Linked DNA regions of Astyanax mexicanus. The protein of the gene in region 3 purifies or fractionates together with the protein of the main gene of each other region. This does not show direct contact. Links are inferred from orthologs where the notes say so. Each region holds a gene or a part of one and is shown on either strand. Other genes may lie near its edges.

Region 1 (7,910 bases), on a different chromosome or scaffold from region 3:
GGCATAGCACTCATGCAAACTAATGAGGAGGGTGATGTCCTAACACTGGAAACCTGTAACTTAAAATCAGAGTGGACAGAGTGGGCCAAGTGGTTTACAAAAGGAGTGAGGAAGAGGACAGTACAGAAGCATCTAAGATCTACATCAGCTACCCATGATATCAAGTCTCTCCTTGCTCCGCCCCCTAATATAAGAAGCCCATGTTCCAAACTAAAAGTAGTAAAACAGACTAGAGTAAAATAGCACGACTTTTGGGTTACAGCCCAGGTTGTCAGCTCGGGCAGTTCTGCTCTGGGGTTCTAGCTCCTCTGCTGCAGCTACGCAGTTTTGCTTTTTCCTTTTGTCCTACCATTACCCTGTTGTTCCCGCCGGGGTTCCCTCCCAGCCTGTAGTTGTTGTAGGCCAGATGGCTGTATGGGTTGTACCCCACAAACCCAGGGGTGGTGGGCATTTGCTGATGGAGACAAATGAGACAAAACACGAATGAGAAATGACACAAACAAGGGAGGAAGGGACAAAAAAAAGAAAAAAGGAAGATTTGTTTTTGCTTTTTTTGGTCATGATTTGCATAAGACATGCAAAAAGCAGCAATCTGACAGCAGCACAACCTGGCATTGTTTTACACCCACTCAAAGCCAAGCCACACACACTATGGGGGAAGGGGGGGCTTTAAATTCAATGAGATGGTTTTAAAATAAAAAATAAAAAATAAAAAAACTCAGCATAAGCTGGATATTCTGTAACATCTGGAACATGTACTACTGAGCCACCCCATGGAAGAATCATCATCATCATCATCATCATCATCATCCCGCAGTCCTTTCCACACTTCCAGGGGTCTTAAGGTTTGGTGTGGGTGATGTGGTCATTTATGGATGGTGTGGTGGAACACTTACTGTGGTGGGGGCCGGGGCGGGGGGAGGGGCGTACGAGGGCCGCTCTGTAAGAGAAAAATCACACAGAGGGCAGACATTATTCCATTACAATGAGACGTTTGCCATTTATCGAAGCAGTACTAAAACCTACTTATACCTCGCATCCGCTTCAGTTGAATCTTACTCACATCACTTCTACACATCACTCACAGGGTTATCCCATCAATTTCCTAAATTATCTGTGTAGTTAAACAGGTATGACGTGAACAAAGACGTTCGGAGTCGGCTTGGTGTAAAATGCTCCAATCTAAAGAAACTTGCATGGAACACTGTTCTGAGAAAAACATACACATTCATTGGTGGGCTTGGATAGAAAATAAAATGGCTACATTTGTATTGTAGTTATGGTGAATCAGTGAGTAAATTTGCTTAGAATAAGCCACAATTTTACACCAAGACCCCACTACAAATGAATTCATCAAACACAATGAATTACACAATTCTAAATGGCTGGCTAAGTTCCCCTTTAAACAAGCCGTTCCTGCAAATGGCATAGAAAGGCTGCACGGTTCAGAGGTTCACATACAGGGCCTTAAGACAACATTCATAACAGCAAAGCATTATACAGGTGGTCTCAGACAAGGGTTACAGATGACCTTCAGATAAAATTAGAGCTCTTACTTGACATCTTGTTTGCAGGATTGAGGATATCAGGCTAACTCCATCACGGTTCTACAATAGGGTAAAGATGGATTAGACATAGAGGCACGCTTTCAGTCCCATATGGCACATTAAAACATCCCTAAATGACTATATCTGCCTGAACAATTTCATGTGAATAGAGATTATACGATTTACTATAACAATACAAGCTCCTGGACTACTAAACAACATAAACATTATTAGAATATAGCTACCATACTATTTTAACTGACCAAACGAATCTAATGGCATAAACGTTATATTTAACTATTGTAACGTTTAAAGTGTATTTTGTAACAACAGAGATGCAATAATAACTCTCCCAAAACAATAACTCGATGCGATCTGTAGCTAGAAGTGCGAGCATTCGGGCCAGTTAGCAAGTTACCTAGCATTAGCAGATTAGCACCCTGTGCTAAGCTAAACCGGAATAAAAGAAATAAACGTTGCTAAAAAAACACGCAAGCTAGCTAGCGAGGTTAAGCATGTTTAGGATTGTAATACAGTAGCTAAAATTAGATTAAAAACCGGAGATAAGTAATTAAGGCTACGTGAGTAAACATTAAAGTGTTAAAAGAAATGTTATAGTCCACGTTAGCGCGTGTTAGCCTGCAGCTGAAGTTGGCTTGTCTGAATTGTTTGTGCCACCTTAAATTGTGCAGCAGTTACAGCGGGGCTTGAGAGCTGCCCTAACCTGCTGTAACCATTTAAGGTGGAACGAACAATTCAAATAAACTAATCTACCTTAGGCTAGCTAAATTTAGCTTCGGCAGTGAGAGCTAATGTGGGCTGATTTTCACTAATAATAAAGTAACTCTATATAATAGAAAACACGTCGGGTGATTGGAGTTAATTAATCTCTAAAATTAAAATACTAATTTTATCTTTAGCCCGGACTGAGGATATCCATCTGTGAGCCCAGCCTTTAGCAGCTACGGCAACCCTTTCATAGTCAGAATTACAACAAATATAACTCGTTAACCTACATTACCCCTCATGATCATAAATCACACTTACAAAGCGGTCTCTACACTTATTTTCCTAAACTGCGTAAACTGTCTGGATACATTCTGGTAAAAGCTAAAAAGCTGGAGTAAAACAGCAGCGCGGTGAGGTTAATAATCGGTTGAATGCGATGAAGCTCCGCTATCGCAGCCAAACCCTAACAGTCAGAAACCGGCGACAGATAACCCAACATTACCGACCCGAACAGCCGGGCTCGTGATCTAAGGCTCATAACACACAATATGAAGGGCGATCCGAACTTTAATTGCCAGTTTTAAAGATTAATTTTAGAAATATTGGGCGCTTTAAACACTCACCCGCGCTCCTTTGTTCCCTCCGCCTGACTCTGCACGGTCTCAGTGTTGCCCCCGCAGGCCGGCCTAAACACTGCGGCAGCGCAGCCACAGTACCCCCACAGTGTCCCACATACACTGAACTGCAGGGGGCAGCACAGTACCGATAATGTATCTTTGTCTATACCGCTCTGTAGGCTTGTGTTTTCTAGACTCCAACAAACACACGAAGAAATAATGACCTGGACATAATATAATATTACATTACATAATAAAATACAATATTTTTTCTTTAAACATGCTCTGTGTAATTACACCATGGGCATTATATCTGTAGGGGGCGTTTCCCCTTCAGCATTTAACATAAAATATAGGCCACTGCAGTTATGTGTCATTCTGTAGTCCTCGTACGGTTTTCAAAAACTTGCCTCTATCACATTCCTTGGTAAATAAATATGTTTAGAACCTTGTATGTTTTATTCTGAGTACATAATTCTCCAGAAAAACACTGGATCCTCTCAATTACGAGATCGTTTATAAGTCATTATTAGAAAAATGCTAGCTTAAAGCTAATGCTACAGCGCACTGAACCGACGTCACAGCACAGCAGCAGAGTGCTTTCTCAGTTTAGTGCAACGCCAGCAAACTCCAGTCCTATTTTTACAGCATATTACAGCTGATCCAATTAATGAACTAACTACCCTCTCTGAGGTGAGCTGGTAGGATTACAGCAGAAAATCACTAAAACAAGCAGCACAGTGTTACTCCAGAAACATTCTTTAAACACTGTGCCATGCTTTTCCAGTGTAGCTGCTGTGGTATTAGGATGCTTGATTAGAGAAACAGATGAATGTTCTATGTGCTATCATATTGGTATGAGCACTAATCAAATCAAACTAATCAATGATTCCCTGTGAGGATAATAATAAAAAACATGACCTATCCGGAGTTTGCTGGTGTCATATCTCTGCCTGTGCCATCAATTCAGTGCGCTGTAGCATGAGCTTAAAGTTAGCATTTTTCTTATTACTTAATCGATTTCATAATTCAGAGGATCCAGTGATGTACACAGAATGAAACGTACAGGGTTCTGAACATATTTATTTACCACAGAATGTGATAGAGGCGAGCTTTTGAAAACCACATTTATTTTGCCCAAAGAAAAAAGCAGTGTAGAAAGGGGACCTAACTACAAACTGACAACATGGCTGCACTGGTCTATTATGTAGCCTTGTTTAATTTTTCAGTTATTTAAAAAGAGATTTCAAGGAAATTATATTAAAACTTCATTTAAATCATCAAGTTCATTCATTTTTACAATAGTTTATTTGTGCTCACATTTTAATTCAGTAATTTCTGTTGAGATATCTTTTTAGTTGCTGCAAGGTGATTAGTTTATCTGCTTGTCAGTCAAAAGTCTAAGTAGTGGGCGGGGCTAGGAGCTTTTTTGGGAGAAGAGTGAGAGAACGGGAGAGGAAGAGAGAGCAGCTGGACTGGAAAAACATATCCAAGCAAGAAAGAAAGAAAGAAAGAAAGAAAGAAAGAAAGAAAGATAGATAGATAGATAGATAGATAGATAGATAGATAGATAGATAGATAGATAGATAGATAGATAGACATCCAGCAGCAGGTGTGTATAGTACACAAAGTTACAAAAAGATAAAAAAAATACAGTCTTTAGTGTGTGTGTGTGATGTAAAATGGAGGTAGTGCAGTTGAACACAATAGACAGCGAACACCAGTTGATGTGCATAAAGTAAGGATAAGGATAACTGATGTCCGCCATACAGAAAGTGCAAACACAGTTATATAATAATTTAAATTTAGCAGTGCAAATGATACGTAAACAGTAGATGAATGAACTAGTGAATGAACTACTAGTGCAAAATAGGGTAGAACTATAAAAATAGTGTTATGGGCATCAGCAAGATAGTGTGACCATAGATGGGGGTATGTCCATGGTGTGGACAGAATTGCTGGAAAGAAAAGGTGTCACAGAGTCTTCAGTTTGCTGTGCTGAGATGAGTTGAAAAGTCTTATGGCCTGAGGGACAAAAGACTTTCGAAGTCTGTCTGTGGAGCAGGACTGGGACAGCAGTCTGCCGCTGAATGAGCTCCTCTGCCTGGTGATGGTGCTGTGCAGAGGGTGGTGAACATTGTCCATGATGTTCAGCAGCTTGCTGAGGGCTCTCCTCTCTGCCAGTGGTGTTAAGGACTCCAGCTCTAGTCCCAACACAGAACCAGCTTTCCTCACCAGCCTGTTCAGTCGTCCAGCGTCCCTCTTGCTGATGCTGCCTCCCCAGCACACTACAGCGTAAAAGAGGACGCTGGCTACCACAGACTGGTAGAACATCAGCAGGAGTTTCTGGCAGATGTTAAAGGACCCAAGCCTTCTGAGGAAGTACAGTCTGCTCTGGGCCTTCCTGTAGAGGGAGTCAGTGTTCACTGACCAGTCCAGCCTATCGTCCAGGTGCACACCAAGGTATCTGTAGGACTTGACCACTTCCACATTGACCCCCTCGATGGAGATTGGCTGCTGAGCAGAGGGCCTGGACCTTCTGAAGTCTATGCACATCTCCTTGGTTTTGGAGATGTTCAGCTGTAGATGGTTCAAAGCAACTGGCCTGTAGTCATTCAGCTCCTTCGGGTGTGCCTTCTTAGGAACTGGAACGAGGCAGGTTGTCTTCCACGTGGCAGGAACTCTCCCTAGACGCAGACTCAGGTTAAACACATGTTGGAGGGGCTCACCCAGTTGAACAGCACAAGCCTTGAGCATTCTGGGGCACACTCTGTCCGGGCCAGCTGCCTTCCTGGGGTGAAGTCTCCTCAGCTGTCTCCTGACTTGGTCTGCAGTAAAGGTTGGTGGACTGGAGGAGCTGATTTGTCTGCTAGCTGATAGTGTTGATGGTGGTGACGATGATGATGAAGAAGATGGTGGGGGTGAGGGTGCTGGTGGTGATGATGATGATGAAGAAGATGGTTGGGGTGAGGGTGATGGTGGTGATGAAGATGGTGGAGGTGAGGGTGATGAAGATGATGATGGAGGTGATGAGGTTGGTGGTGGTGGTGGTGAAGATGGAGGAGAGGGTAATGGTGGTGATGATGATGATGAAGATGGTGGAGATGGAGATGATGATGGTGGTGGCGGTGGAGATGGAGATGATGGTAAAGATGCAGGGGGGTAGAAGGAGGGGGCAGCAGGAGCAGGACAGTCAAACCTGTTGTAAAAGTTGTTAAACTGGTTTGCTCTGTCCACACCCCCATCTGCTGGGTTGCCGCTGTTGTTCTTGCACCCAGTGATGGTTTTCATCGCACCCCAGACTTCCTTTGTGTTGTTATCTTGCAGCTTTCTTTCCACCTTTTTCCTGTAAGACTCCTTGGCCTCTTTAAGACGTACCTTGAGTTCCCCCTGTACGCGCTTCAGCTCTACCAGGTTTCCATCTTTGAACGCCCTCTTCTTTTGGTTGAGGAGGTCCTTGACGGTGCTGGTAATCCAAGGTTTGTTGTTTGGAAAGCAGCGTACAGTCTTTGTGGGAACAGCAACATCCATACAGTAATTCAAGTAGTCTGTAACACAGTGAGTCAGCCCCTCAATGTCCTCGCCATGTGGGTGCAGCAGCACGCTCCAGTCAGTGGTGTCATAGCAGTCCCTTAGGGCTTCCTCTGCTTCAGGAGACCAGACTCTGAATGAGCGTGTGGTAGTGGGCTGCCTCAGTACCAGTGGTTTGTACTGAGGCTGTAGGAAGACCAGGTTGTGATCTGATCTCCCCAGCGGTGGTAGTGGAATAGCCCTGTATGCATCCCTCACATTAGCATACAGCAAGTCTATGGTTCTGTTCTTCCTGGTGGGACAGTCCACAAACTGGAAAAAGGCAGGCAGTGTAGAGTCCAGCGTTACGTGATTAAAATCACCAGTAATCACATAGATATGGCAAGCCAACTAAGCCAAAACGTGTGGGAAAGAAACGCCTCCACGCGTAAAAATATGACGTGTCCACACGTAAAAAAATCACGTGTACAGGCGGTAAAACTGTTCGTGTATACACGTTTTGGCATCTAACATCCAATCGGTAAACGCGCCTATGCATACATTTGCATTGTAATAAGGCAGCCTGACAACACATGATGTCATGCAACGTATTGTATTCCATATTCATAAGACGCTTACGTGGGTTACAACGCAGTGTCTACGTACCGTGACATAGCCCCATACATACTCATACACACTCTGCACGCAAGGTCCACATAACTGAAACGTTGTAATCATGTGTCTATGATGTACCCCCTATTTCACATAATGTAACCCCCGCCATTTTATATCCATAGTGTTTACCCTGCCTTTAGGTCAGTGCAATCATGGCTCTGCAAAATTTTCCGTTGAATTGTAGAACAGTTTTTGCTGACTGCACAAGGCTTGCAATGTCAGACCATGTTCAAAATACGCCTTATAGAAGGCGTCAGGGTGCTGTGTCTGCAGCGCTGCGACGGTGGAGTGGATGACGTCACACGCCGCCTGTACGTCCGCTCTCGGCTGAATGTAAACACAGACGAGGATCGCATGAGAGAGCTCCCGCGGCATGTAATAAGGTCGGAGACTCACCGCTAACAGTTCAATATCCCGACAGCAGATCACCTCCTTCACGTTTACATGTAGCTCCACGTTAGCATCCGGCGTGTTGGGGGTGAGCCAGGTCTCGGTGAAACACAGCACGCTACACTCCCTGTAGAGCTTCTGATTCTTCACCAGACACGCTAGCTCGTCGGTTTTGTTGGTCAGTGAGTTGACATTCCCCATAACCACCGACGGAACTGAGGGTTTGTACCTCCAGCGCTTCTCCGTACTCTTAGCCTTTAGCTTAGCCTTTAGCTTAGCTCCGGCCCTACAGCCTCGGTAATTCCTCCTTAGTTCCCCCGGTATTGAGTGGACAATGCCCCCACGTCCCGCGGGTCGAAGGGCCAGCAGTTCTTCACGGGAATAAACACGATATTCCTCGCTGGTTATCGGACAGTAAAACCACCTGTGTGACACTTTACAT
Region 2 (6,994 bases), on a different chromosome or scaffold from region 3:
GAAGGCACACACTCTTTTAAAAACGATAAAACACACCATAGCTCAAATGTCACTTAGAATAATAACAAGAGAAAAGCGACGGAATAAAAGTGTGCAACATAAAAAGCATTATACACAAAAGTACAATTTATAAAGAAAAGTGTTTTCCTATAACTATCAACTCCATGAGCTTTATCTAGCTATATCCAATTTAATTTATAATTGCCAGAAACGAAATGAAATGAACGAAAACGACCGCTGATGCTATTAGATGTATCAGATGATAATAATAATAATAATTATTATTATTATTAAAATAATTCCTCCCACAAACAAGAGAGCGTGCTGCCAGCCGTATTATCATACAAATCGCTATTGACGCCAGTGCCATCGTTAGAGCGCCTTACAACAGCGTAAACTGACACGCAACTTTAAAAGCGCTTTTTTATTCTGTAGCGTGAAGCAAACGAGCCGCGTGCTGCAAAACTTTTCCTCCACTCCACTCGCTCCAACTTCCAACAGCGCGAGCTGAAAGCACGCCTCAAAATAAATCAGATCTACACAAAAGAAGCTCTGCCAGTGGTGGACAACACTGGTTTTGCTTCGCTTTCCCTTTGAAACCGATTCGTTTAACCCCACAATGAGGAGATGCACAGCGGTAATAACAAAATAACGGTATCACGCGATGCGCGTCCATGCGCGTCCCGTCAGCCGGAGCTTTACCCCCCACCCTCCGACCATCAACACACACTCTCTCTCTCTTCTCTCTCCTTTTCTCGCTCTCACTCTCTCACTCCTTGTTTCTCTCACAGAGACACTCACAGTCCCACCACGACCACCGCTCTTCAGCCCACTATCAGTGTTATTAAGCTACTATTTAATAAATTCAGCTTACCGTTTTTCCTCCTCGGGTTGGCTTGTTTTCGCCGCTTACACCGGGGCCCATCCGCCATGATATGCTGCCTCATTGATGGGGAGTGTGTGTGTGAGTGTGTGGATGTGTGTGTGTGTGGATGTGTGTGTCTGGATCAGATGGCAGCAGCTCGCATGGACGCGACTCCTTCAGTCAGTCAGTCAGCAGCGCGCAGCCTCAGTCTCTGGCAAAACCAAACACACACAGAACAACAATGCAGGCGCTGCTCTCTTTAGCGCAAAAGCGCGCGCACACACGCGCAGGTACGTACAGGCGCAAATTTTGGACCATCCGCATCAGCGCTTGGAAATAACGTAGAAAATAAAACGGAACGTTGGAGACGAAAGTGCCCCAAACCGTGGGCGGGTGAGTGAGTGAGGGGCTGCGGGGGGCTAGGAGCTACACACCGCCGGTGGTGGGTGGTGGCGGGGTCCACTGCTTCAATGGGACATGCACGGCTGTAGGAATAACTGTATTAAATTAAATGTAGGCATGAATTAAATAGTATTAAATACTATAGGGAGACTGCTGTCTCAGTTTGCTTTCAGAGCCGGGACTGGTGATGAGCTTATTTATACATATATCAAACTGTTGCACACAAAATAAAAGGAGATAAAACAAGTAAACAAGTGTATTCACACATAGGACCGGTAAACAGGAGAGATCTTAACGCTGAAAATTTGTGTGGGATATTATTTACACGCTTAGACTTGTTTGTGGAAAATGGACTTTAAATATACATAACATTTGGTGCTGAAATTGTGGTGTTACCAGTTTACTGTTAACTGTGAACTGTAATGTAGACACCATTGGGAAAGTATTAAGTATTTTGTAATGTAAAGGAAAAAATTGGCTAAGAAAAAAAAAACGATTAAAAACTTTAATGAATTAAATTTGTTGTTGTCTATTACAATTATTACTACTACAAAACTGTATTAGTGGTACTAGTGGTAGTAGTAGTGATAGTATTGCTAGTACAATTTTCACGTATTTTGCTATACCTTATAATCATTATTGTTAATAATGTTTTATTATTTTTTAGTTCACTAAAATATAAACCATTTGTTTGCTTGGGTGTTATAATGTTTGTTTTGTGTGTTTGTTTTTTTGAAAAGTACAAACACTTAAAAGCAAAATAAATAGTTGCTGACTACTTTAATTTTAAACAATTAAAACTTTTTTCATCATCCTCATTCTAATGTCCTATTTTAGTAAAATCATTAAAACATTGTGCTGCTGCAGGAGTTTGTCTTGTAATAGGACGGCAGAGCAGGGAAAAGCGATTTAGACTAAGTGTACAAAGATAACATACGGCGCGAGGCACCGTTAGATTTCACCACTCACTGTCCCATCATATTTGTGAAAATATACCAATTAATATCTATTTTTGTTTTATCTGTCATCCTCATAGCTTGACATACAACAAAGGGAGAAGTAACTTTAAAAAATATTAATATCCATATACAGCACTGAATTTGTTAAAGTCACAATAATGGGAAAAATGTACAAAATTGATTTTTTAAGAATTCAGATGTTGTTCATATAAATAAATCCTGATCTTAATAAATCGTCCATTGAATAATTACAAAAACGACAAGCACACTTTTTTTTCAAGTTCACCTGTACAGGTGAACTTAAAGGTGAGCGCATCTCTCCAGCGCACTCCCACTCTCATCTTCCACTTTGAACTACATCTATAAATATAAATATTCACTTTATTTCTAAATACATATTCCAAGTCTTGAAGCCTATAAATTGCACATCTTTAAAGAGAGAAGGAAACAAGTCTTACCTTGTTGTTTACGTTTGTCTTAGTCGAGCTGGTTGCAAGGAATATAAAAAAAGGAAAGAAAAAAGGGGGGTTTGTAGAGCAGCCGTGGCGGGGCTTTTTTTGGAAGAGGGGGAAGAAAGCGGATCCGTGGGGTAAAATGTGGCAAAAAGGGTAAAAAGCCCGGGCTGTAGCTGGAGCAGCGTTATTCCTGGCGCGCAGGTTGGGACTGATCCCTTTCAGCCACTCCAGGAAACCAACCTGCGGACGGACTGACGTGTTACGCCTCCTCTAATGACATTTTTTTCTTCTCTCTCTCTCTCGCTCTCTCTCTCTCTCCTTTTCTTTGCTGTAACACAGAGAGATAGAGAGAGTGAGAGAGAGAGAATGGGGGAGAGCGAGAAGAGGCTGAAACACGCGCCACCTATCTTCACGGGGAGGGATAATTGAGGAGGACCAAACGTGAGCATCTTCTGGGAACCGTGAGAACTTTTCCTTCGCTTTCTTTTTTCCTCCTTTTCCCCCTTCCCGTTTCCCCGTTCGGTTTTTTTACAGCGCGGCAGGCAAAAGAAACCAAACCCCGACCTGTTCGCTTTACCTTTCCAAATAAATACGCTAAGTAAAGCTAAGCTAACGTGAAGACGGAGAGGAACATCTTCACAAAACAAATGTAGCTATATTTTAATAACAAAAGATTTAAACACCAGAAAGGACGAGGTTTTAGACTGAGACGAGTCAGAGTTTTCCCCGGCACGAGAAAAAGAGGGAAAGAAGTCGTCTTTTTCGGTGGGGTTTGTGTTTTAATTCGGTTTTAAGCCTCGTTGTGCTGCCGAGTTCTCCCTCACAGACTTTCCTCACCCGTCGTCGCCTCAGAAGCGGCGCGGATTTCCCGCCACAACTCGGGCTCGCGCCACGCGCGCCGCTCTTAAAGGGAAGGTGGCCAGGTGACAGGTAAGAAGAAACAGGTAAAACAAAATCCGACATGGATTTAACAAAAAAAACCCGGTTATTTTTAAGCTGGAAGTAAAGTAATACTGTTCTGTTTGGGGTGATAGAATATTTTTAATCTATTTTAAACCGTTTTAGCACATAAAGGAACATGTACACGGGAATTTTTAAGCTAATGTGAAAAAAGAAAAAAATGGGCACGCGCCCGTGCTGGGCGTGGTTATGAACCGGTTATGACTGTTTCTAAAATGTGTTTATTTTTTTTGTTTATTTGTTTATTTATTTATTTCGTAGTCCGCTAGAATCCGACGGAAGACTGGGAAGCCCCACCTTTTCTGAGGGGATGGGATTGGTGGGGTAAATAAAGCAGCGCTCCCTCCGTCCTCATCTACCGGAGGGATAATTAAATCATCAATCCGGGGGGTGAGGGGGAGATTTAGGGGCTGATGCGGGGGTGGGGGGCTTGTTTTGGTGGGGTTATTTTGGGGGTGGGGGGTTTCGGGGCTGCAGGATCAGTTGATGCTTTTGTTCAAAGCCAATCAGACCGGGGCGCAGGCGGGAAAGGTGCCTTAACATCCTCAACATCTGGAGCTGAGGAGGCGGCAGATGCGGGAGGGGGAGCTCCAGTCAACGGGACTGAGGCAGGAAATTCACAGGTATTATTATTATTATTATTATTATTATTATTATTATTATTATTATTATTATTATTATTATTATCACTAAAATATTTATCCTAATTTTGCTTAAAAATATTTTTACTTAATCTTCACAATTTATAATTATAATTATATATATATATATATTTTTCTGTTTGTTTTGTTTTGTTTATTATTCATAGTCATTTTGATGTTGTTTTAAGTACATTTGTTATATATGCTCTTTGCTGTTGTATGCACACAAAAATTATACTTGTTAATTATGTTAATTAAATATAGCCTACTGGCACTGTGTAATCTGCTCTACTACTTTCAACAAATTTGTAGACAAGTTTTATTGTGTTTTCTGTCTTTTCTATCAAATAAGTCTGATGGGTTTGACTATTTTACCCCTCAGGCTTCACAGTCCCGGTAGAGCAGCAGAGACCTCCGCTCTGGAGGATCCCCAGAAAGCAGCTACACTTACTGTAAGTACTGGATTACATGCATATCACACTGACTAACCACATATAGAGAGGTGCTGCATTATATAACAATATATAATGTGAAATGAGAAATCTCAGGCTTATATGAGTTTTAAACATTTTTCTTCTTTTTCTTTTCTTTTTTTGCTTTTTCTCTCTTTTTTGCTCTGTTTTCTCGCTGTCAGGCTGATCGCTGCCCCGATCTCACTGCACACAGCCTCCAACCTCCCAACCTCAGCAGCTCCTCCTGGTTTAAGAGAGGAAACAGGACACCCCTTAGCACCCTCCCTCTGAAAGCTGTGTGTGTGTGTGTGTGTGTGCCTGTGAGTATATATATATATGTGTGTACTTTCATTGGTTTTTTTTGCGGCTTGACCTGATCTCTTCATGACACCTTTACGAATGTCTGGCACAGTGCTGCCATTCAGGCGAACGAGTAATAGCAGATAACAGATTAATCAGGTTTAAATAAATAAATAAATCATAATTATTTTGCAATCACATCTGTAATATTATTTTATTATTTGTATGATGAGTCGCATAATACAGACTTAATTTGGCTGACATTTATATATGACACATTATATACACATTATGATCAGAAATAGCATGCTTTATGTATACATTTATAGAATGCCTGCAAACATATATGTAATCATATTTATGGTTGTATACTCATTTTTACAGTTTCTCCCCTTTTTTAACACAAAATTAAATTGTGTCAATATTTCATGATGAGTGAACCAATACAAATGCTGCAAAATGACTAGCAAAATGACTTTTATTAAAAGTATTTTTTGTAATACTGCCATTTTTAAGACACAAAGCTTTGTTAATTACATAATATGGTTGTTTTTTTTTTTTTTGGCACCTTAACGAGAATACGTTCTCTAGTCAGCATTCTCAATAGACAGACATTAATCAAACAGACTTTTACAGCTAAAATATATTAAAAATAGCTTTAATATCAAGTATTCAGGAATGCTTAAACATGCTTAACTACTGTAAACGCAGGGTTGAGAGCAAGCGGAGGAAAAACGTCTCGTCTGTCAAATGTAAACGCCTCACATTCCCGTTTGTAGACTGTCGTCGTCTTCTCGGTCTTCTCGCCCTTCTGTTCTGTTCTTAATATAGTCTTTGAACTGACTGAAATGAAGCACAATAAAGGCATACAGACATATACAGCTTATTCCAGCTAGGGTTGCATAGTATATCATTTTAATGTTATTATCATTATCATCATCATCATTATTATAACAATGTTTGCATGTGCAGTATTCACATTGCAGGACTTGCATATGTGCGAATGTAACGCAAATTTAATCAATCCCAAAACACAAAAATTTATATTGACCTGTTTACCTGGAGCTGAATATATTGGCTCATTTTTTTTTTCAGTACATTTTTTCAGTCTTCAGTACGTATAAGGAATTATTAATATCACAACCTGCTGAATCATTGGTGTATTTGGTGCAAACTCCTGTATTTATTTAGATATGAAATATATCACAATACATAATTAAAAACAACAGATAATTATTATTTTTTTTCATTATCAATATCATGTAGCCCTAAATATAGCACTGTTATTACATTATTTTGCTAGTTAGTATTTGTAAATGTGCCGTGCCTAAGGCAGCACGTCCAATGAATAATCTCTTTAAAAAAAGGCACAGGAGATAAATATCTGATGTTATCAGATCAGGCATTGGAGATAAATCTTTATTCGTAAATCTAAATTTGTTCACGTCGCTCCAACATAGTTTCACATTCATTCATTAATTTATTTATTCATTTATTAAAGAGAAAAGAGACTGAAAACAGCAGTAAGGACAGTAAGTGGATGTATGCGTTCATCCGGAAGTGTGTTTTATAAGACATATAATATATATATATATATATATATATATATATATATATATATATATATATGTCTCTGTGTGTGTGTGCTCTCTCACAGTGCCTGCTCCCTTTGGCTTCTCCCAACCAGTAGAGAAAAGGAAGTCCATGAGAAAGTCCCAGAAAATCTCACATCTGCAGCAGGGATGGAGCAGAGTACACACAGGTGGTAGGAAAAGAGCAAGCGCGAGAGAGAGAGAGAGAGAGAGAGAGAGAGAGAGTGTGTGTGTGTGTGTGTGTGAGAGAGAGAGAGAGAGTTAGAGAGAGAGAGAGAGTGTGTGTGAGAGAGAGAGAAAGAGGGAGGGGGGAAAGTTATTTCCTGTCTCTGAGAACATCCTCAGAGTGTTTTCTCTCCTTCTTTCTC
Region 3 (7,844 bases):
AACCTGGAATTAGCCTGGCCCAAGCTGATTTTATACTTTAAAATTAACTGGCAACATGGTATAACGAGCCATAATGCACAAAAAAATTGAATATAAAGCTGATGTTCTAGTGTGATTTTGAAGGACTTTTTAATCTTGGGCCAGAACAAATACACATGATCTGAAGAGTACTAGTCTTCTACTTTGAGGAAAACCTGGAATTAGCCTGGCCCGAGCTGATTTTATACTTTAAAATGAACTGGCAACATGGTATAACGAGCCATAATGCACAAAAAAATTGAATATAAAGCTGATGTTCTAGTGTGATTTTGAAGGACTTTTTAATCTTGGGCCAGAACAAATACACATGATCTGAAGAGAACTAGTCTGCTACTTTAAGGAAAACCTGGAATTAGCCTGGCCCGAGCTGATTTTATACTTTAAAATTAACTGGCAACATGGCCTACCGATCCATAATGCACAAAAAAATTGAATATAAAGCTGATGTTCTAGTGTGATTTTGAAGGACTTTTTAATCTTGGGCCAGAACAAATACACATGATCTGAAGAGTACTAGTCTTCTACTTTGAGGAAAACCTGGAATTGGCCTGGCCCAAGCTGATTTTATACTTTAAAATGAACTGGCAACATGGTATAACGAGCCATAATGCACAAAAAAATTGAATATAAAGCTGATGTTCTAGTGTGATTTTGAAGGACTTTTTAATCTTGGGCCAGAACAAATACACATGATCTGAAGAGAACTAGTCTTCTACCTTAAGGAAAACCTGGAATTAGCCTGGCCCGAGCTGATTTTATACTTTAAAATTAACTGGCAACATGGCCTACCGATCCATAATGCACAAAAAAATTGAATATAAAGCTGATGTTCTAGTGTGATTTTGAAGGACTTTTTAATCTTGGGCCAGACCAAATAAACATGATCTGAAGAGTACTAGTTTTCTACCTTAAGGAAAACCTGGAATTAGCCTGGCCCAAGCTGATTTTATACTTTAAAATGAACTGGCAACATGGAATACGGATCCATAATGCACAATTGTTTTTATGTAAAGCTGATGTTCTAGTGTGATTTTGAAGGACTTTTTCATCTTGGGCCAGAACAAATGCACATGATCTGAAGAGTACTAGTCTTCTACTTTAAGAAAAACCTGGAATTAGCCTGTCCCGAGCTGATTTTATACTTTAAAATGAACTGGCAACATGGTATAACGAGCCATTTTGCACAAAAAAGCCACTGTTCCAGTACAATTTTGAAGAATTTTTTAATCTTGAGCCAGAACAAATACACATGATCTGAAGAGAACTAGTCTTCTACTTTAAGGAAAACTTGGAATTAGCCTGGCCCGAGCTGATTTTATACTTTAAAATGAATTGGCAACATGACATGAAAGCCATTTTGCACAGAAATAATGAATATAAAGCATTGATTTTGAGAATACCAGAACACTTCATCTGATGTGTATTTGGTCTGAAAAAAAAGTCCAAAATCATACTGGAATATCAGCTTTAAATAATATTTTTTTTGTGCTGCCATGTTGCCAATTAATTGTGCAGTCTAAAATCAGCTCGGGCCAGGCTAATTCCAGGTTTTCCTTAAAGAAGAAGACTAGTACTCTTCAGATCATGTGTATTTGTTCTGGCCCAAGATTAAAAAGTCCTTCAAAATCACACTAGAACATCAGCTTTATATTCAATTTTTTTGTGCATTATGGATCGGTAGGCCACGTTGCCAGTTAATTTTAAAGTATAAAATCAGCTCGGGCCAGGCTAATTCCAGGTTTTCCTTAAAGAAGAAGACTAGTACTCTTCAGATCATGTGTATTTGTTCTGGCCCAACATGAAAAAGTTCTTCAAAATCACACTTGAACATCTGCCTCATATTTTTTGAGCGCAATGGCTTTTAAAATATAATTTTATTAAATATATATTTAATTATTTATTGTAATATATAATTATAAATTCAGTAATTAAAATAAATATTTTACAATATACAAAATTACATTTAATACGATATTGTATATTTACATTGTTAATAAACAGATGTACTGCTTTTCTTCATTCTATCTCCTTCAGTGTTGATCTGTGAGGTGTTTAATATAAACAGCGGGTGTTTGTGAACGCTCCCTTTAGTTCACGGTGGTTCAGTGAAGCGGCAGCTGCGAATATCAAACCAACTTCAGCCGGGGAATACGAGGCTGCGAATATCGAGCCAAACGAATCTGGAGCTGCGAATATCAAACCAACTTCAGCCTCGTTAGCTAGCGTTAGTAGTTACTACACGCATGTTGGCTTCGGATCTTTCCAGTCCACCTTAAATAGTGCACCACTTAACACTCTGTCGCCTCGGTCGCCCACAACATTAGTTAGTTAGCTAACTGACCGTAATTTAAGGTGGAACTGAAAATTAGTAAAAGGCTGTTCAATACGATACCAACTGCAACCTCGCAAATAAATAATAATACAGTGTGTGTGTGTGATGTGTATGTGTAACAGGTACATAGAGTGTGTGGGAGGGAGGGAAAGAGAGAGAGAGCTGCAGTCCCACAACGAGACACAAAAGCGCAGCGCCAGTTAGCATTAGCACTAGTGCTAATAGAACCCACATTCAGAATAGCTGAGGTTTAATCAGGATTTCTCACACCCGGTTATATTTACTGTCTCTGTTTATTCTTTCTGTCCCTGTACCCATTTAACGTTACTCCTTTCCCCCAGGCCCTCTATCCCTCTCTCTATCCCCCTCACTCTCTCTCTCGCTCGCTCTATCACTCTCTCTCTGGCGGGCAGGCCTGAGCAGCGCTCCGTTCCCTCTTACCGTCATAATAATAGCAGACTTTCTTCTTGGTGCCCTGCAGAGTGAACGCCATGCTCCACACACACGATCCCCGCGACCAGAGCGCGCTGATTAGATTAAATACAGATTAAAATGTAGCAGGAGCGGTGGAGAGAGACAGGTAACTACAGAGCTGATGAGGAGCACGGAGACGGAGGAGAAGGAGGAGGCGGGGCCTATTCTAATCGAGGGCGGGGCCTGCTTAGCACCAGCGCTCTCTGATAGGCTACAGGGTTACTCTGATAGGCTACAGTTAGCTGTTAGCTAGTTTGGCCTATATTTGAAGACACAGTGGTGCTTGAAAGTTACAATAGTGAACAATTTGAAATTGTCTATATTTCTGCATAAATGCGACCTGAAACATCGTCATAAAAGGTAGATAAGAGAACCCAGTTAAACAAATGACACAAAAAAAATTATACTTTGTCATTGAGGGCGTTTTCACTCCAGCACTATTTGGTTAGGTTAAAACAGACTCTGGTTCGTTTGTACTCTTAGTGCGGTTTGATTGAGCAGGTGTGAAAACAGCAGTCGCACCTGTACGGATCCAAATAAGCAGATAAAACCTACTATGAGGATCTGGTCTCAGTTCAGTCCCAAAAAAAGCTCTGGAGCGGTTTGCATCATGGTGAGAAAGTGATCTAGTCTTGATCCAACCCAGCCAAACTGCTGATAAGGCGCAGTTGAATCTGATATATTAGCCAGATAACACTAATTATTAGAGACACAATATTTATGCATAGATAGATAGATAGATAGATAGATAGATAGATAGATGTACATACAGTTAGATAGATAGATAGATATAGATAGATGTACATACAGTTATACACATAGTTGGATAGACAGATTATTACATTTATGTTATATTTATTATTTATATTTATTATTTATTTTTCATTATATACAATGTGCTGTCCACCTCGTCAAGCTATTAAAACAGAGACTGATTGAATTGTACTGTATTATGAGAGTGGTGCATTATAGTGATTAATTCAGTCAGAATTAATTATTAAGGAACACAAGAAGGGCATCATGTATAGTACACTTCATCATTAAACAATCACCAACATTAACTTTACATTTGATCAAATCCCCATTTTAGATCTCACAGCTCAGCTTATTAACAGTCAGGGGGGTTCAACATGTGTAGAATGCAGACTAACCTGTGTTACTTTTGTATATACTGTGTTTGTTTATATGCAAGACGAAAATCTTATTTACAGGCAAACATTAATGCATTTAGTAAAAAAATAGCTCTACATATTTCAAAGTTACAAAGTTATGTTTCATCTTAATTGCTTATAGTTGTAAGCAGGACAGCAGTTTAGCACCCCCTGGTTAAAAAGATCTGCCATTCGACCTCCTCACGGCCAGTCAAATTTCCTCCCAGTCATCTGGTAAAATTTCTGGTTGAATGGACGGTAGAAGCGCCTGAGCTTATCCAGCACAGCCAGGTCCACGTCCGGGTGTGGCCGGCCCTTGCTGCCCGCCAGGCACTTACTGAAGCGGCGGCTAAAGCGCAGGCAGTAGAAACCCCGTGTAGAGTTGAAATACAAGTTCTCTTGGCTGATACCAGGTGGAAGGTTCAGGAACTTCTCAACCAAACGGAGCTCAGGCAGCGGGTCTGAGATCAGCCTGTCTCCATCCACCACATGAAACTGCTGGACGGGGAAGAACTCCAGCCAGTGCTCCAGGTGTTTGGCGTAGATGCTGGTGCGGACAGCTTTGTACTTGGTGTTCACCTCCTGGGTGCTGGGGTTGATGGCCAGCACCTCAAACCTGGGGTACGTTTTATTCTTGCGCTCTTTTCCCTCCAGCACCTACAAGCAGTGACAAGAGAAACCAGGTTTTCTGAAACTGTACAAGTTCTGACTACTAACATGATCTTTTTACAGCGAGAGAGCTGACTGTCTGACTGCAGCTCAAACACACTGCATATAGCTAACCTGTTACTACTGCCACATTAAACCATTCTTTTTGGAATTCTGTATATTTTTGCTCATATTCACATTTGAATTTCACAAGAGAATGGCAGAATTTGCATTAAAAAAGTAAAAGAAACATCCCAGTTTCACCAGAGTTGCATAGTGCAGTTAGCAGAACCCAGAGTAGCCACCATAGGGATGCTTTTCTCCACATTACAGGTCACTGGAGCAACACTATGATTTTGATCTTGAGTTTTTGAACTGGACTTTCCATCTGGACCTTTTAGTAGGGCTGCAGTGATTTGTCAAAATTAACGATAATGTTGATTATTAAAATAACTGATACTGCAGTGAACATGACAAAATGCTAAGGAAAGAAACTGTGGTGGAGTCAAAGACTGCTCACTCACTTAGTCAGCTTGGTATTCAAAAGTGACAAACCCAACTGGGCATCTAAATCCCATGTTCAGCTGTTTCTTTCTTTTTGAAGCGAGAGAGAAAGCTAGGGTTGGTAAGCAGAGATGGAGGTGAGGCTGGGTGAAATTTTGAGATTTGAAGAACGAGACGAGACAATATAGTTTATATTGATATAGATTATTTTGCATTCCAATATGCTCTGTCATTTCTCCTCTCTTCTCTCTGCACATATATCAAGACATTTTTTTTACTTTACCTAGCACTGCGTGCTATATCTTTAACTAAGGCTGTATCTATGAAAATATTTTGTCCTTTGAGTTTTAGAGCTGTAAAATTGACTGTGGGGGGAAGGCAGGTAGGTGTTCTCTGCCGCAATGCTGTTAGCCAATCAGAGGTGATATTTTTGCATGTATGAGTATTCAAGAGCAAGAGTTGAAATCCTGTCTTTCTTCAGAGACCACTAATTCAGTGAACTAAAGTAGGGCTATACAGAAACACTGGAGCACTTTTTTTCACAAAAAAACATCTCACATGGCATTCATTCATACTAGAGACCACAACTAGACATTTTAAAATTAACAAAAAAACTATGGAATGAGACCTTTAAAGTCATGTACCATGGTAATTTTAATATGTGCCTCACCACTGTTTCGGTGTTTTGAATATAGTGCATCTTTACCTGTGTGTAATCAGAGATTGCACGAATCGTTGGCTCGCGGACGATCACCAGCAGCTTTGTGGAGGAATTCATCCTGAAAATCCGCTCCGGGACCTTCTCCGTCACAAAGTAGGCGGGGCTTTTCTCAATAGTGATTTGGCCAGTGAGGGAGAATGGCATCCTGCGGCGGTACCAGGCCACACCCCTGCCATAATTCTGATCACTGTCGAAGAAGTGGACCTCCTGTGAGGCCTTGACCATGGCGGGATGAAGGCTCAGCATCTCCAGCAGTGCACGAGTGCCACCCTTCCTGACTCCAATGATAATGGCATGGGGCAGCTCCTGGATCAGGTGCCCCTTAGTGGTGTTGCCCCTGCGAAGATCCTGCCGAAGACCCCGCTTATACTTTGGTGGTCGAAAGGGGAACTGCACTGGATCACGAGCAGGGTGTGGTCGGCTCTTGATGGGGCAGATTTGATGCAGCCTGAAGATAATTTTTTTTACATCAGTGGGTTGCAAGCTTGTGGGTGTTTTAATATTATGAATATATTTAAGTTGTGTGGGAGTGTAAAGTGGTGGGGTTTAATGGGTGGGTGGGTGTGAGGGGGTGAAGTGTAAGGAACTGACATGTAAGATGATTGGGTAGAGCGTGGGGAGGTATGAAGTGGTGAGGTATACAGTGGTAAAGTGCAGGATGAATGCTCACCTCTCCAGGTGAACTGTGTGAGTCAGCAGGTACAGCAGTGTCCCGAGCACCAGGCTGAGCAGCACAGCCAGCTGGGGGAACAACATCTCCCATCATCCCATCACACACACCAACTACACCTGCAAAAACACAAAAATATGATTTTGTATTAAGAATTCATCATTCAATATGCAGCACTCAGAAACTAGTATTCTATATTAAACGTTCAGAAGGTCTGTATTCATTCTGTATATAGCATTCTGTATGCAGTATTTAGCGTTCAGCATTGTTGAGCATTATTAGTCTTCAGTGTTCACTATTTAATGTTCTGTATTCACTAGAGTGTATTCAGTCTTAAGCATTCAGTATAGCATACAGAAAACAACATTCTGTATTCAGAGTTGAGTACTGAGTATTCTACTTTTAGTGTTTACTGCAGCTGTAATTGGCTGTTGTGAGCCTAATGTAAAAATTCTTTCAAGAACTTACAAGCAGAACACTGTAACCCCTGCTTCCACGCAGAGACCACACCAAGCACAACCAGGTCCTTCATCATAACTGTAGGACTGCAGCTCTTTACAGAGAGCTGTAGGAAGAACTACTAATAGCTCCATGCTAGCCTGGACATTTCAATATCTTTGGCTCAAACATGTAGAAACACTGTGGTTCTGGGAAAGCCAAAGGCATGCAGTTACCTCTATTAGCCTCATAACTGAAAAAATGTATGGGTATAAAGTGTGAGTTGCAAATCCAAAATGGCAATTAAGACTCCAAAAGGTTCAGCCACTATTATCTGAGGATCGCTAATTCCTTATCATGCTGCTTACCATCAGCAGTCAGAGCCTAAGAGAGCACTATTTTGCACTGTTTGCAGTCTCAGGGGTGGGTAGATGGTGCTCTCCAAATGTAATATTGGTCAGCACTGGCGTCTGTTATCTGATGTATAGAAGTCCAAGAGCTAACCAGTAATGCTGCATTAGAGGCGGATCAAAAAGAGACAGTGGTTGACTTCATGTTTCAGAGGAGGTATGCACCAGTCTTCCCCTTCCTAATATTGAATGCATTAATAGTGATAGAGGAAGTTCAGCTGATTAGGGATTGCCTTTCAAATCGGGGAGAAAAAAGACAACAAAAAGAAACACAGGACTAAATAAGACACACCTGTAATTAGTCAGTACTCATGTGAGCCAGATTGTGTGAACTGATTCTCAATAGATGAAAGGCAGTGACAGAAATTCTGGGTTCTCCTGGGAATTGGAATAATGTTTGTAAGAGAACTGTGACATATATAGATAGAGTGACCTATAGACCTTTCAAACACCCACA
Region 4 (6,873 bases), on a different chromosome or scaffold from region 3:
TTCAATTTACCTGTGTGTTAACTTGTCTGTGTGTTAATTAACCTGTGTTACCTGATTGTTAATTAACCTGTGTGTAAGTGTATGTGTGTGGTACATTTTTGGTAAATAACCAGTGTTACCTGTATGTTAATTAGACTGTGTGTTACCTGTATATTGATTAGACTGTGTGTTACCTGTGCAGAATTAACCGTACATAAATTAACCTGTATGTTAATTACTTTCTCTTACCTGTCTGTGCTCCAGGTGCCAGCAGCCAACGTGACGGTAACTGTCGCCACCCTGCGGGCTAATGTGACAGGTGTGGTTCAGGAGGCGGAGTCACGAGGGAGGAGCTCAACACCTGTACGGAAAAAACCTACAAACAAACAAACGAACAAGCAAACGAACAAACGTGAGAAACGTAAAAACTGCTTCGGGTTTAAGATGGACCGGATCAGCGACCTGAGCGGGATGGGCTGCAAAACGGCAGAAGTGGCGCCACCTGGGAATTAGAGTGGAATTACAGCCTGAGGGGGCGGAGTTTACAGTGCTGAACGGACTAAAGACTGGATACTGATATATTACCCAGCAGCCCTGTGGAGATCCTGAACACTGTATCACACTTCAGTGACGAAAAGCCCCGCCCACTTTGCATCTCATTTTTATTTACGTAGAGAAGAAGGAGGCGGGGCTACACTTAGGAATGAAGTGATTGACAGCCTCGTCGAGTTGTAGTCCAGCTTTCTGATAGCTAACTAGTTACAATACTAGAGATAATGTTCCAGGATGCTAATGCTAGTTAGCATCACAACATTATTATAAAGTTTCTCACATAACATTCTTTTAATAACATTTCTTTTATTTTATTTATTATTACTTTTATTTTTTATTCTAATGTTTTATATTTTCATTCTTGTTCTTAGTTCTATTATTCATTTTATCATTTCTTACCATTCTTAACATTTTACTTTACTTTTACTATTATCTTTTTACTTATTTTATATTTTACTTTTTATGTGTCAATTAGTTTTTTATGGTATTTTAGAATTTTCTGTTGTACATTTATATTTTATTTATACATGTTAAATGTTGATTTAATATGTAGTACTTTTTTATTATTATTATTTTTTTACTACTTGATTCCTTTTTATTTCGAGTTTATTATTAAAGGCTTTTAATCCCTTTGATGTTGTAAATTATCAGAAACATTCTCTTAATGTTTTTTCCCGAGTGAAAATAAAGCTTAATTGATTGATTCCCATCCTGACGAATATTAACATTATGGAAACGGTAAAAGTTAAAAACTAAACATTTGAAACACTGACACAAGTGATGTTGCAGCAATGTTACCACAGCGTTAAAAAAAAATAGTCAAATAAAAATGTTCTAAGAACATCCATAAAATCCATTTTTTGTTAACTGTAACGATTAAAAAACATAGTAAATAGTAAATAGTAAAATATTGATTTAAAATTAGTACTTTTTTTTTTTTACTATTTTATTCATTTTTATTTCGAGTTTATTATTAAATGCTTTCAATCCCTTTGATGTTGTAAATGTTTGGGAACATTGTAAAATGTTAAATATCATGTTAAATAAAAATGTTCTAAGAACATCCATAAAATCCGTTTTTTGTTAACTGTTCTACTAACTAAATATTGTTAGCTGGAAAACTAGCTAACACCCAATCGATACGGTAAAAATAATATTATTTCTATTTTTTTCCCATTTTCTCCCCAATTTACTCAATTACCCAACCCACTCATTAGGACTCCTCCTATCACTTGTGATGCTCAATAGTATTATTACTCTCCTCACATTTACAGTATGTTCTGGTCTGGATCGAGTCCTAACAGCATTTAAAACATTATTTTTTGCTCTCTATATAAAACGATATATAGAGTATATTAAGTTCAGTAATGTTACAGGCCTCAGGCCCATGCGTCGCTGCTGCAGCTGCATCACTGAAAGTTTATTTTATATCAGTAACACTGATGCTATTATCTGATTATTGTTATTATTTTTATTACTATTTGTAAATACTTTCCTGCACATTTGTTCCTGCTTATACTGTACGTGTATAGTGTGTGTTAATATGTATGATTTGTTTTTTTGTTTTAAATAAAAAACAAATAGTCATGTTGGGTCAGTTTCCAGGTCATGAAATTAATGATGGGATTAAACCTAATCTGGGTCTGGGAAGATGATCCCGATGAAACTGTCACATAATAACACTGTTATCTAAATAATAAATACTGTTCTTTTATACCTTTTGACTTATTTATTTTTTATTATTTATTTGCTGCACTACACCCTGCATACCATATTCCCAGTTTACAAAAGATATTGATTCATAATTTATTTATCATGAAAATTATAGTGACATTTAATAAGATTTTTTCATCAACTAATAAAAGCTAAATGAAAAGGTGAAAGACTGACAAATTGGATACTTATCTATAATAAACAGTATTATTGATCAGTGATCGGAGTGCCCCACATATTGTGTAAATATAGTGGTTAATTAATAAAAGTCCAGATACAGAACGTCAGTAATGTTAGTAGAAACCTGTACTGCAGTAGAAGTGTTTAATTTTTAGTTACTTGACTTTATTTTTCTCATCTTTATAGCGTAGTTGCTTTAAAACCTTTTAATATTAGCATAATTTTAATGTACCGAAACCTAAAAGCTATTTGTTTTAATAAACATTAATAATAAATAAATAATCTCAAAATAATAGTACAAATCTAAAACAGTACAACAATAAATCTGTACATAAAAATCTGTTTTATTAGATTCTAAAACTAATGATGACTAAACAAGTAATATGTGACTAAAACTAGTATACATTTCAATTAAAAAACTGAAACTAAATCAAAACATCTGTCAATATTCACACCGTAACAGAGAACGCTATGAGAACGTTTATCAACGTTTTGAAACGTTTCATGAATGTTTCTCTGCTAGACCAATACTAACATTACGGAAACATTTTCAGTACCATCAACTAACATCAACTAAAAATTAAAACATTGACACAAGTGATGTTACCAGAACGTTTAAAAGTGTTCAATAAAAGATTTTAAGAACATCCAGAAAACTTGACAGATTTGAACGTTTTAAGAACGTTATCTGTAACTTTCAGAAAATGTTCTACTAACCAAACCAAGCTCTGCTCTTTCACTACTAAGTATAAATATTTGTATTTTATTAAAGATATATCACTTTTATAAGTTACAGAGGAATTACACCCCCCTCTGTTTACCTTATAAACATTAGTTGACAAACTATATATTATAAGATTTCTCCTGATAAATTATTTTTCAGATTCATTTATTTATCTAACTGCTTCTTACCTCTGTATTAAATTAACAGCTTAAATAAAACAATGAATCTACTGAAACTAATAAAAATAAATAAATAAAAATTAGCTTAAATCAATGGATAGCTAGCTAACTTTCCCATTCCACCTTAAATGGTGCAAAAGAAGGTAGAGGCTGCAGTATTTAAGGTGGAACTGAAAAATAAAATAAAATAAAAGCTAATTTTAGCTCCTTAACACCCGGTCTGAGACCTGTTCTAGTCCATATTATGGCAAAAACTACTCAACTAAGTAACGACAAAAATGAGTTTAGGAAAAAAATTAAGTAATGAAACAAAATCCCCTATGAAAAAACGTTATGATGGAACTGGCCCTCATAAGTTTGACCACTTCATTATTAATTTACAGTGTAGGAAAAATAATAAAATTAAAATAATAATAAAACAACCAAGGAGAATGTTTCTCCATACATATATATGGTGCTGTATATTAATTTATATTAATTCTAATTTATTAATAATTAAAGCAGTTTAATCACTCTGATCAGCTCTGCTTCATCCGGGTCTTCCCGCGGCCCCGCCCCCTGAGTGACCCGTATGCAGCGGCGGAATATGGCGGAGGTAGGACGGAAACTCTCCTGATTTCTCCTAAAAACAGGGAATAAAGTGCGGGATTTCTGCGGTCTCGCGCTCTCCCCGCGCCCCGCGCGCTCACCACGGCCCCGCACTCAGCCCCGCAGCGGCGCGCGGGCAGTACCGGGCTTTTCCCGCCTTTAAACTTGTTGATTTTAACACAAATACCCGCCACTGTAAACTTATTAGCACTGTTAGCCTGTTAGCGGATTTCAATCCGGATTAAAGCGGGTTAAAATAAAGCGCATTCCGCGGCGGCGCGCGGGTAGTGATGTAATAATACGGTTTTATTATTCCGGTGTTTTTTATTCAGTAATATCAGTTCTGTGAGCGGGTTACGGGCTGCAGTGTGTTAAATCTGAATCTGAGATAATGAAGCTAAAGCTCAAACTTCCACACTGTTCCACATCTCAATTCGGATCTAAATCCGCATTTAAATACACTTATAGGGCTGATCATTCACATTATACTGCATTTTAAATCATATAAATATAAAAATCAGTTTTACACTGCGAGTCTGCTTCACCAAAATCATCAGTTTATCTGTAATTTGGTTTAAAATTAAGTTTATTTCAGTGTAATTCAGTATACTTTGCCCGTCACTCCAGATTATCAATTTATATGACGGACAAACTTAATTATTTTTCCACTAAATTCAGTTTTACAGACTATGACCAGGTTGTTACATTAATACGTATTCAGTTTCATTTTATGTTGCCAGTTTATCACTAATTCAGGTTTAAATTCAGTTTAATTCAGTGTAATTCACTATATGCTGCCTATCAATCCAGATTATTATTATATACTGAAAGTCAAATCTTCATTTATTCAGCAAATGAAATAAAACTCCCTAAAACTAAAGCTGTTTTAAATATATTAATACTGTAGCTTGAATGATATTATATTTTAATGCAAACTAAACTGTACGTATTTATTAACTGGAGAGAGAAGGCAACTGTGGCTGATTTTAATACAGTAATGCCTCTAATGTCTTCAGAAAAACAATATAAATTGATATATATATTTTAAATACTTAAATGCTGAGTATATTGGGTCCATTTGTAGTGTTTATGGAACTATTTAAAAAAATAAGCCATGTTGAAGTTGTTGCATATCTTTTTCTAAAGTCTATTGTTCACATTCTTCAGCTGTTTTTCTGATAATAAAGTCTGAATAAGATAAATAAGATAAAATAAAAATACTGTGATATACATTTTTGGTCATACCGCCCAGCACTACTGTGTGTGTGATGTACAGCACGACGGTGGATTTATACTGTTCGTATCTCTGTTGGAATTATCAATTATACTGTAGTGACCTAAGTTCTCCAGCTCTCGAGAAAATTAAAGATATCACTTCAGTTTCTGAATCAGTTTCTCTGATTTTGCTATTTATAGGTTTATGTTTGAGTAAAATGAACATTGTTGTTTTATTCTATAAACTACAGACAACATTTCTCCCAAATTACAAATAAAAATATTCTCATTTAGAGCATTTATTTACAGAAAATGAGAAATGACTGAAATAACAAAAAAGATGCAGAGCTTTCAGACCTCAAATAATGCAAAGAAAACAAGTTCATATTCATAAAGTTTTAAGAGTTCAGAAATAATCAATATTTGGTGGAATAACCCTGGTTGGTTTTTAATCACAGTTTTTAATCATGCATCTTGGCGTCATGTTCTCCTCCACCAGTCTTACACACTGCTTTTGGATAACTTTATGCTGCTTTACTCCTGGTGTAAAAATTCAAGCAGTTCAGTTTGGTGGTTTGATGGTTTGTGATCATCCATCTTCCTCTTGATTATATTCCAGAGGTTTTAATTTGGTAAAATCAAAGAAACTCATCATTTTTAAGTGCTCTCTTATTTTTTCCTAGGTCTATATATATATATATTGTGATTTACGTTTTGGACGTATCATCCAGCTCTGAGCGTTAGTAATCCTTCAGGAACTGTGAAGCATCTAAATTATTGTTGAAGATGAGCTGATCATTCTCTGACCCTGTCTCTCTCTCTCTGTCTGTCTCTCTCTCTGTCTGTCTGTCTCTCTGTCTGTCTCCTGCAGTCCTCCTTGGGGAATTCAAGCCCAGGTAAGCCTCAGTCTGAAGTTGTGGGAGTTTCTCTGAGCAGATCTGTATCAGTGTAGATTGTGTTTTTGATTTCTGGTGGTTGTGAGGTGTTGTGGTGGATCAGGGCTGATGGGGGCGTGGTTCTGCTGCAGGGGTTTCGGTGGACTTCGACCCTTCGGCTGAAATGCTGGTGCAGGAATTTGACGATGAGCGCACCATGGAGGAGGAGGAGCTTATGGAGGGAGAGACCAACTTCCGCAACGAGATCGACGACCTGAACAGAGTGAGTAACAGAGTGAGTGCATCATTCCGTCATTTCATCATTATATCACTCCATCATATCCAGCCGGGTGCTTATTTCCAGCCTTCCATCTGTTTCAATGTGGAGAGGCCAAAATACTGGAAACCAAACGTCAGATTATCATTTCAGAAACATATTTTAGAACATTTTCACACCTGAAAATTCAGACCAGCTTCTGCACAAAAGGTTTATATGTTTATTATCAATCAATCAATTGACCTTTATTTCCACTCGGTAATACCAGGGTTCCCACGGGTCCTTAAAAAGTCTTAAAATACCTTAAATTAAAATCTTTATCATTAAAATCTTAAATTAGTGTAGTTAGTGCAGAGCTAGCTAACATTAACGGGAGAAAACTAAGGTTAGCTGTGTTAACTTTAGCAACGAGCTAGCTAAGATACTAACGTTAGCGGCGAGTTAGCTACGTCACTGTGGAGAAAACCAGGGTTAGCAGAGACCTAGTTAACATTAGCGGAAAGCTAGCTAACATGCTATATTCTGCATCACAATGGAACAAAATTGATAAATGCAAAACGTTGAGTTTTAATTTTCAATACACTAAATTAT

What was found.
Region 1: the proteins of histone deacetylase 2 (region 3) and smarce1 purify together in Homo sapiens (co-immunoprecipitation; 3 studies listed by BioGRID and IntAct, with this or other methods). This does not show direct contact. The link is inferred for Astyanax mexicanus from reciprocal best matches to the Homo sapiens genes HDAC2 and SMARCE1.
Region 2: the proteins of histone deacetylase 2 (region 3) and zeb2b purify together in Homo sapiens (affinity purification with western blotting; 4 studies listed by BioGRID and IntAct, with this or other methods). This does not show direct contact. The link is inferred for Astyanax mexicanus from reciprocal best matches to the Homo sapiens genes HDAC2 and ZEB2.
Region 4: the proteins of histone deacetylase 2 (region 3) and mier1b purify together in Homo sapiens (co-immunoprecipitation; 6 studies listed by BioGRID and IntAct, with this or other methods). This does not show direct contact. The link is inferred for Astyanax mexicanus from reciprocal best matches to the Homo sapiens genes HDAC2 and MIER1.

What each region holds. Positions count from the first base shown.
Region 1 is NC_064426.1:13,043,684-13,051,593, reverse strand, and holds the start of smarce1 (SWI/SNF-related matrix-associated actin-dependent regulator of chromatin subfamily E member 1), read right to left. Parts: upstream 3,012-7,910; 5' UTR 2,900-3,011; intron 1,608-2,899; 5' UTR 1,564-1,607; coding exon 1,557-1,563; intron 941-1,556; coding exon 897-940; intron 455-896; coding exon 350-454; intron 1-349. UniProt on the Homo sapiens protein: Involved in transcriptional activation and repression of select genes by chromatin remodeling (alteration of DNA-nucleosome topology).
Region 2 is NC_064412.1:34,805,444-34,812,437, reverse strand, and holds the start of zeb2b (zinc finger E-box-binding homeobox 2b), read right to left. Parts: upstream 3,006-6,994; 5' UTR 2,685-3,005; intron 1,077-2,684; 5' UTR 948-1,076; coding exon 875-947; intron 1-874. UniProt on the Homo sapiens protein: Transcriptional inhibitor that binds to DNA sequence 5'-CACCT-3' in different promoters. Represses transcription of E-cadherin. Represses expression of MEOX2.
Region 3 is NC_064408.1:38,903,596-38,911,439, reverse strand, and holds the start of histone deacetylase 2, read right to left. Parts: upstream 3,008-7,844; 5' UTR 2,865-3,007; coding exon 2,813-2,864; intron 1-2,812. Other genes in the region: heparan sulfate glucosamine 3-O-sulfotransferase 5, read right to left, coding at 4,198-4,653, 5,855-6,317, 6,540-6,625. UniProt on the Homo sapiens protein: Histone deacetylase that catalyzes the deacetylation of lysine residues on the N-terminal part of the core histones (H2A, H2B, H3 and H4).
Region 4 is NC_064415.1:898,383-905,255, forward strand, and holds the start of mier1b (mesoderm induction early response protein 1b), read left to right. Parts: upstream 1-3,863; 5' UTR 3,864-3,898; coding exon 3,899-3,922; intron 3,923-6,001; coding exon 6,002-6,026; intron 6,027-6,157; coding exon 6,158-6,300; intron 6,301-6,873. Other genes in the region: natriuretic peptide Na-NP-like, read left to right, coding at 244-492. UniProt on the Homo sapiens protein: Transcriptional repressor regulating the expression of a number of genes including SP1 target genes. Probably functions through recruitment of HDAC1 a histone deacetylase involved in chromatin silencing.